Danio rerio: one gene and its partner. The protein of the gene in region 2 purifies or fractionates together with the protein of the main gene of each other region. This does not show direct contact. Links are inferred from orthologs where the notes say so. Each region holds a gene or a part of one and is shown on either strand. Other genes may lie near its edges.

What was found. The genes of interacting proteins can lie anywhere in the genome.
Region 1: the proteins of csk (region 2) and pxna purify together in Homo sapiens (affinity purification with mass spectrometry; 4 studies listed by BioGRID and IntAct, with this or other methods). This does not show direct contact. The link is inferred for Danio rerio from reciprocal best matches to the Homo sapiens genes CSK and PXN.

What each region holds. Positions count from the first base shown.
Region 1 is NC_133180.1:7,364,610-7,369,712, reverse strand, and holds part of pxna (paxillin a), read right to left. Parts: intron 2,940-5,103; exon of another isoform or gene 2,881-2,939; coding exon 2,675-2,880; intron 1,039-2,674; coding exon 831-1,038; intron 1-830. UniProt on the Homo sapiens protein: Cytoskeletal protein involved in actin-membrane attachment at sites of cell adhesion to the extracellular matrix (focal adhesion). Recruits other proteins such as TRIM15 to focal adhesion.
Region 2 is NC_133200.1:21,859,987-21,864,088, forward strand, and holds the end of csk (tyrosine-protein kinase CSK), read right to left. Parts: intron 2,539-4,102; coding exon 2,356-2,538; 3' UTR 1,338-2,355; downstream 1-1,337. UniProt on the Homo sapiens protein: Non-receptor tyrosine-protein kinase that plays an important role in the regulation of cell growth, differentiation, migration and immune response.

The DNA.
Region 1 (5,103 bases), on a different chromosome or scaffold from region 2:
TGTGTGCACATCTAAGAAAACCTTATAGGCAGATGCTCCATCAAGCCAAACAAAAGAGACAAAAGTAAAAAAAGAAATATAATTCGGCAGACTGCCACTCTAGATCTCAAGAGACAAGGTTTTGCCCTACAAGGTCTTCATCAGATCACACAGGAAATATAAGAGAAAACTAGAAATAGACTGCATCCAAAATCGCCTACTACTCAGTATGTACTACGTTTGAATTAACTACACGACTGTTAGGAAAGTACGTTCTATATAGTATGAATGTGAGCAGTATGAATGGCACTCTGATGTACTACTCCCGTTCATGAATTCTCTCGTATTGCATCATGGGATAGTGTAGCATACATTGGATGTGCACTTCAGAATCTTGCTGGAAGTAGTCAGTCATCAATGTACTTGCTATGAACGTTCAATGAATTTGGACATACTACTTGTCTCGGATGTTGTTTTTAACATGCTATATAGTATGGAAGTATGCGATTTTGGATGCAGCCACTGTCAAACCCAAGACATCACATCTGGAACAGTTATAACCCTAACCAACCAATAAATAAACAATAGAAAACATGTTTCCCATCCCTGTTCCTGAAGGCACACCAACAGTACACATTTTCAACCTCTTTCTAATCAAACACTCCTTAATCACCTCATCAGAACATAAGAAGAGACTGCAAAACCTGGAATGAAAGGGTCCGATAAGGGAGACATCCAAAACAAGTACTGTTGATGTGCCTCCAGGAACAGGGTCGGGAAACACTTTATTAGATTGTTTGATATCCATGTCAAAAGTGCACATGTGATGATTTGGTGCTTTACAAACTGACCTTCAGCAGGGAAAGAGGGAGTGCTGTGCTGCACAGCGTTAAGTTCCAGCAGCAGACGGTCCAGTTCTGACAGGTTGCTGCCCAGAGAGGAGTTCATGACGGCGGTGGGAGACTCAATCGACTTCTGTTTGTTGGGGAAACTGTAGACGTGCTCTTCCTCAGACTGCGACACGCGAGGGCTGCTGCTTTTCGGGGCGGAGTTGAAAGACTGAGAAAAGAAAAATGTTTTACAATTAAGTACATTAACTTTACAAATGAAAGCAAATTAAATTGCAACATTTTCACTAATAATTCAGACTTTTTTCACCTGGTAAAACAAATAATAAAAATACTTTTTACCAAATCAGAACTAAAATTTCAGAATTACAAGTCATTTCAAGAGTTTACACTTAGCTGATGATTAAAAAGTGTATTTGGCAGCTCATAAGAGCTCAGAAGATCCTCGAGCACGGGGCTCCCTCCTGTTTGCAGGACAAGAGGGGAGTTTGAGCTCAGGTAGATCTCGAGAATTCCCCTGCTTATTTATAGCTAATAGCAATTTAGGGATTGCTATGAAGAGATATACAGCCGCTTAAAGTCTGGTTTATACTCCTGTGTCAAGTGATTGGCATGACCCACGGCGCATGCAACGCGCGTAGCTGTGCGTTTAGACTTCTGCGCGCTGTTTCTGTTGTTCTGCAAAAACGCTGGTTGGCAGTGAGGTGTTTGTTCATCTGTGTCGAGTTTCTTCACTGGTGTGTTTTTTTTCTGAACGCTTCCTTAATGTACAAGTGGCTTAAACTCGCTCATTTTGAGGCAGGAACCGGCAGACGTGCACCAACTTTAACCATGAGGTAAACACAAAACACATCACCTCAAAAACAGTGGAGAATTGGCCCTGAATAGCACAGCATAAGGTAAGAGATGACAGCTGTCTGTGCTATCTGGGGCTGCTTATTGGTCATAAATGTATTGCTTTTACTCCTGCGCCATGGAGACACCGCGATTCATTCGAAAACTATTTAATATGTGAATATAATTCAGTAAAAAGAATGCTAGAACCGTATGAGCACCGGCAAGAGCTTTCATTTGAGCTATAACTTGTACATGTGTCATATATGAACAATATGAAAATGAAACAATGTTCAATACCCAGCTCGGGTATCCAAAATACTGTGTATTTAAGAGTAAATAACTTTTGTACAATAGAATAAAAACCAAAGTGATGCATATGTGGATAAAATATAGATTCTACACTTTCAAACGAAACCACTTATGGGGGTCTGGTGCAATGCTAGCCCTTTAAATCTTAAAGTGAAAGTTGATGACGTCACGGACCCAGTACCGGGTCCGCAGAGTTTAACTGGTTAAGCCTTTAAATGTCACATTAAGCAGAGTACTAATGTCTTGAAATGATATCCAGTAAAATATTATGTACTGTCATTATGGTAAATATTGAAGAAATCAGTTATTAGAAATGAGTTATTAAAACTATTATGTTCAGAAATGTGCTGCAAAATCCTCTCTCCGTTAAACAGAAATTGGGAAAAATACAGGAGGGCTAATAATCCAGGAGGGCTACTAATTCTGATTTCAACTGTATATTGCATATACTATTATCAAGATAACGATACTTTTTAGATGTATTATGCAGATCTAACAAATATAACCTTGAATCTCCTGAACCTGCTTAATGGCACAAGCCTCTGGAGCAACCAAAGATGAAGTGCTTTGCTTGAGGGCAAAACAAGCAGAAAGTGGAACAGGCCGCATCTGGTATTTGTCATAAGGTTAAAGGATAACCAAGGAGACTCATATAAAGAGCAACAGAAAACCCTTCAGGAAGTAATGATGATGCATTTTACCTGGGTTGATGAGTGCTTTGATTCTGGTTTTTCTACCCAAGATCCATTCAGAGTTTCAGCAGGAGGGGAGATTACTCGAGGCGGAGACGACACGTCCTGATAAGAGTCGCTTCCTCTGGGGCAGGAATATGGCGTCTCTTCTGGCAGAAAAACACCTTGTTTGGAAATGTGGGAGGTTGTGGACTCCAAATCCGCGAGAAGAGCATCTGTTAGGTAGAAATAAATAAAGCAATGGTTTTAATCAAGAAAACAGCTAATTTAAAGACTAAATAAACAAAATAAAACAAATAAATAAATTATTTTTTATAAATGTTATTTATTAATTCAAAAAATAAAATGTATTAATTTAAATAAATAATTTAAATAAAAAATAATTAATTACATTTAATTAATTTAATTAAAATGAAAAATAACATTAATTAAAACAACATTAACGCCATTTGAAGGTGTCAGTGTTGCTGTGAAGACTTGTGCGACCACTTTTAAGCTTCTCTCCTGACCTTGAAAATATGATTGGCTGAATGGTAGAAAAGCTGAATTAAGATCGTGTGTAGGGTCGAATCGAGATCATGATCTTTTTTCGATTAATCGTGCAGCCCTAGTTTGTTTTGTAGACTATCGAAAAAAAAGTTGCCTAAATGGGGATGATAATATTGATCATATTGATGATAATATTGTCCTTAAAATGGTGTTTAAAAAATTAAGAAACGTTTTCATTCTAGCTGAAATAAAACAAATAAGAAAAAATATTATCAGACATACAGTGAAAATTTCCTGAATCTGTTAAACATCATTTGGAAAATATAAAAAAAAGAGAAAGAATGTCAAGGGGGGCTAATAATTCTGACTTCAACTGTTCATTTCTATTTATTAGTTTTTTTAATTTGCAATAACTCTTTTGAAATAAAATGAATTATCTTTGTATTCCTAAATAATATTAGGTGGCCAAACTCGTATTTTAACGGACATAACGGTTTAATAAAAGAGGGTGTACTCATTTACCCTGAGCACTGTATAATATCATGCCCAGAGACGTAAATCCCGGGGGGGATGGGGGGGACATATCCCCTCCCTTCCAATTTATTCTGCTTCAGGAGTCAGTCTGTTGACTGTAAACAACACAACAAACAATGCAAAAAATAGAAAAATTTGCTTTGTTATTGAACCTGAGAAAAACTTTAAAGCTAATCATAATGGCGTAGTCTCCATGCTATACTAATAATGATGAAACCATTTTGAACTGCGGGGACATTTCTTTCTTAGTACAAATCGGCTGTATTATTTGTGTCCCCTTCAAAAAAATGCTGGAAAGAAATTTTATGTTTACTGTCTCCCCTACTGTTAAATCAGATTTACGCCCATGATCATGCCACACACCCCTTAAACATTCATAAAAAACAAAAAAAGCTTATAACAATTTGCTGATTCCAAGAGCTTCCAGAATTCTGATATGCGCTTTAGATTCACATTCCCTTCATTGGTTTTGCAAACAACATAAATCTATCAGAAATCAAGCGGCTTGTTGTTGAATAACTCTTTGTCAAGTCTCTTCACAACATGTCTCTTCCTGGTCTGGATCTGATCCTGGAACAGTGGGATAATTATGAACCACAGGACGAGGATGGTGAAATCACTTCGCTCATATGGGGTGTGGCCAAACCTTGCATGTAAAGACTGCTCTAAAACAACATGCCTACAGGGACAGATTCAGCAGGAAGAAAAGCGCAAAATGCATAAACGGACACACACACACACCTCTTAATGCACATAAGACGAAAAAAAATCAATGTTCAAAAGCCAAACGCTCAGGAATGGAGCTGAAAGCACTCTCTCTCTCACACACACACACACAACTAAGCCTGTAAAACATGCTCTTAAGGAACTATAGACCATCTGTGGTTAAAAGTCCTACATATAGCAATTAGATATGAAAAGAAAGCACCTTTAGATAGGGGTTGCATCACCAGTTTTGCTATGAAGCGTGTTACGCCATGTCTATACAGGAAGTGATTGATTGCAGCATGACAACTCTATATGATTGCTAAAGTGAACCAGTGAGCTGTAAAAGTCCAGCTGTACACTATGCACTAAATAAAAATTGGATGTCTTTTGAGGTAAGTGGTTGCAAACTATTTAAATGAGGCGAATTCAAACAATTGAAAAGTAGCAATGTTCAACTTTGTTAAATTCAGCCCATATTAATTGTTTTCAACCACTAACCTTAAAGAAAATGTAGTAAATCCAATGTTTAATTTTTTTCAGGGTGATAAATGTGGAAAAATCTAATCCACATCTTACAAATCTATCATAATAGCAACATATTTAAACATAATATGTGTATTATAAAAAATATTTAAAATAGTAAGGCCGAAATATCCTGGACAGAGAATATTTAAGAAGGAAATAACAACATTGAGCATAATTTCTAA
Region 2 (4,102 bases):
TTTTAAACAGTCATGCTCAAAGAACTTTATTACATTTAGCGGATTTTTACACTGAATATTCAAATGTGGTTTCTGAAATATTGATAAAATTAAATATTTGTCATTTGACATTCTTATGTAAGATTGAAATTCAAGATTTTTAAATGAAGGATTTCTTCATTTTTTTCATTCCATTTTTGAAACCAGCAAGGTACAATTGCTGAAATAACACCATAAATTTCCAATTTAAGCACTTTCAAGAACATATGTTTGTTTTTATGTACTTTCCAGGCCTTGAATTCATGTATGTTTGAAATCAAGTACTTTCAAGAATCCTGGGTTTTCTGTCTGAAATGATTCATTCAAGCCCTGCCTTTCCGAGAGCCTACTCTTCTGTGATTGGTCTACGGGCTTGTGACAATAACTTTGTTATGACAGAAATAACCATGATGGCATTACATTGTCTACTGGTGATGGGTTGTTTTTAGATGATTTATTCATTTTGAAAAAATCTTTTGTATGACTCGAGAACGATGAGTTTTCTCACATTTGTGCAGGTGGAGTAGAAGATTAGTACCTTTTTTTGAGTCTTCTATCGGGTTTGAGTCGTTTGTTCATCACGTGAAAGATGGAAGCCAATCATATGAATTTAGAGCCGAAAAAAGATGTGATCCGTTCATCTCTCGAGCCCTTGGTCTGAGTCTTTTGTTCATCACGTGAAAGGCAGAAGCCAATCATATGCATTTAGAGCAAGAAAAAGATTTGATCCGTTCATCTCTCGAGTCCTTGGTTTAAGCCGTTCGTTCATCCCATGAAAAACAGAAGCAAATCATATGAAAAAGATTTGATCTGTTCATTTCTCACATCTCTCTTTACATGCCATCACATGATGAACGAATGACTCAAAAACCAGAAGACTCGAAAGGTGAATTTTATTTGGTGTAATTGTAGATGTCATTGGAAGCAACTCGTAACATTTTAATAATATTTTGGCAAATCGAACGAAATGACTCTAAAAAAGATTTGTTCACCTCGCTGCACGAGACTCAAAGGTCTGAGTTAGCAATATAATCCGAACTTCCCATCACTATTGCCTACAAAACAGTGGCTATTTCCCAACACTATTGCCTACAAAACGGTCGCTATTTGTGCAAGAAAGACAAAATGGAATTACTGACGACTCATTTCAGGAAATTCAGAATCAGGATGTTGCTGTTGTTTTTTTTGGGAGACATAAACTCCATTTATCGAGCACTTTGATCTTTGATATTTTGCAAACCTTTTACATTTACAAACAGAGATATTACATACAGGATGAAAGCACAACAGTGGCATTTTAAACGGCACATAAACACACATTCCAAGCTTTTTGGCAGCCTTTTTATTTTTTGTTTAACTTTCTTTTTATCAAACTGTTCTGGTGGAATGATTTCTTTTGTAATGTGGCAGCAAAAAATGTTTAAAAAGAAGAAAAAATAAAGCACTGCGAGTAAAATCAAGTCCTTCACGACGACCAAAAAAAAATAATAATCAGCATATGACTTATAGAACAAATATTCCACAAATCTGTACTTGTGGGCTTTTAGTATAGTTTCTTTGTCTTACTATTTTATTTATTTATTTATACTGAATTAAAGCATTCTGGCTTCCACCCAAGCCACATCTCATTTGAAATGTGTTTATATTCCATGTTTATATTCATCCATTCCGGTTTGGAGGCTCAGACTGACATGTGTGGAAAGATGAGATGCAAAAAAGCAGGAAACGCAAGCGCTTTTAAACAACGTATAAAAAATTATGCAAAAAAACAAACAAAAAAAGGCAAGCTCTGAGGTAAAACAGACTTCTGGCATAAAGGCACTGTGAAATAGAAGAAAGACTTCCTCATGTATTTCACCGGCTACTGGAAATGAAAATAGGATGAGGATATGATCTCTAAGTGCCAATTATTGCTTTTTGGTTTAGGATTTTGCAGAATCAACAGGGCCAAAAAGTCCTGTGAATAATTTTCATTATATTTGTTGTGTTTTTTATACTAATACTGATTATTATCATCATATTTTTAGCAGGAAGTACTTCATCATCAAATCAAAAATCCATAATGGGGGAGAATATGAAGACATATGAGGTCAGAGGAGGCTGAAGATCTTATGAATCAAAAAGAGGTGAGTTGTATAGAGAAGGCCAGCCTCCCCAAAATTAAGAAAACCAAGCAAAGTAAAAGATGTAGAGAGAGAGAAAGAGAGAGCGAGAAGAAAAGAACGCGCTTGCAAACGTAACTTGTGATGTTTGTCAAGTCCACCTCTTTAAGAGTAGATTTGGTCAGATTGAATGAGGATGGTCCCATGGAGGTGTTTGTACTCTTCTTCAGTCTTTTTATCGGTAGAGCTCATTGGTTATGATATCTTGCAGTTTCTCTCGAAGGTCTCTGAAGCTTGGCCGCACCACAGCATCCAGAGTCCAGCACTGCTTCATGATGTCGTACACCACTGGAGGACAGCCGTCGGGGGAGTCCATCTTATAACCCTTCTCTACACGCGGGACCACTTCCTTTAGAGGCTGGAAGAAGAGAAAGAGAGACAATGACTCAGGATAAAACAAAACAAAATGTGCTTAAGGAGACAACGGTGCCCTCTACTGGTAGGAATCTGAAATTATACTGAAGTAAAACATAACATTTGAAAAATTGATGTATTTGTTAATAACTAAAAAATTAATGAGATAAAACTAATGTAACAGAGTTCCCATGCTTTCCTGAACAACAGTTTCAAGGACCTCTGTAATTCATGCCTTAGCATATGTAGTGCCATGAAAGCCCTTAATGTACTTTTAAGTCCCTATGAAATCAAAACTAACCATATGATTTTGTTAGCTCAATTGATTGTTTTGGGATGGACAATTCATCTGTGCATGTCATTATGAGAAAAAAAAATTGTTTGCCCTTCTAATCTTTTATCGAAATCTGAAAATGCACTTGCTGTTTGTTTTATTCTCAGATTACGTATATCTTAGCAACTGGGCGTAGCTAACATATTTAACCACGCTGGTTCAACTCAGATATGAAAACAAACAGAAATGGTGAGGAGGAGGAATCTGTTAGGTTGTAATAACTCTCCCTAAATACTTTTCCACATCTTTCTAAATGAAATGCCTACTTTACTACATCCAATCAGCTCACAGTAGAAAAAAACAAGCCACGCCCACTGTTTTCTCATTTAATATTCAGTTTCTCTAGGAACTGCATCACAATATGGAGAAAAACAAACAAACAAACAAAAACGGTTGCAGCTTCCAGTTCATGTGGGCATTAACAGTTCACTTAATACTTACAAGTCATTTTCAAACACTTTTCAAACATTTTAAAAAGTCATGGTCAAAGAAATTTAATCAGATTTGTTGATTTCAATGCTGGTAATATTCAAATGCGGTTTCAGAAATATTGATCAAATGTGCATTATTTGTCAGTGTTATTGTACAAGGTTTAAATGTAAGATTCTTAGTTAAAGAATTTCTCTTTTTTTTTTTTTTTTTATAGCACAATTTACCATCCATAAACAAATTTCAATTAAAATTTAATCCAAGCACTTTTAAGGACCTGTGTATAAGCAGCTAGCTCTCTGCAACTTTCACATGGTCGCCCACTGAAGCTAAGCAGGACTGAGTACCTGGTCAGTACATGGATGGAAGACCACATGGGAAAACTAGGTTGCTGTTGGTAGTGGTGTTAGTGAGGCCAGCAGGGGGCTCTCAAACTGCGGTCTGTGTGGGTCCTAATGCCCCAGTATATTGATAGGGATTCTATACTGCTTGGTGATCGCCATCTTTTGGATGAGACATTAAACTGAGATCCCCATATCATAATTGGTTTCATCACTCTGTTTCCTCTCTGCCAGGTGGATGCTGCACATTGGTGGTGGATGAGGAGATTCCACCCCGAAAATGTGTAAAGCGTTTGGGTGTCCAGAAAAGTGCTATATAAATGTAAGCAATAATTAATTTTATAAGTATTTTACAGGCCTTGAACCCATACTGTATGTCTGAAACTCAAGAAGGGTCGGAACTCTGAATATAATAAAATTGCCAACACTTGTACCAACTGGTGGACTATTACCTGCCTATTGTT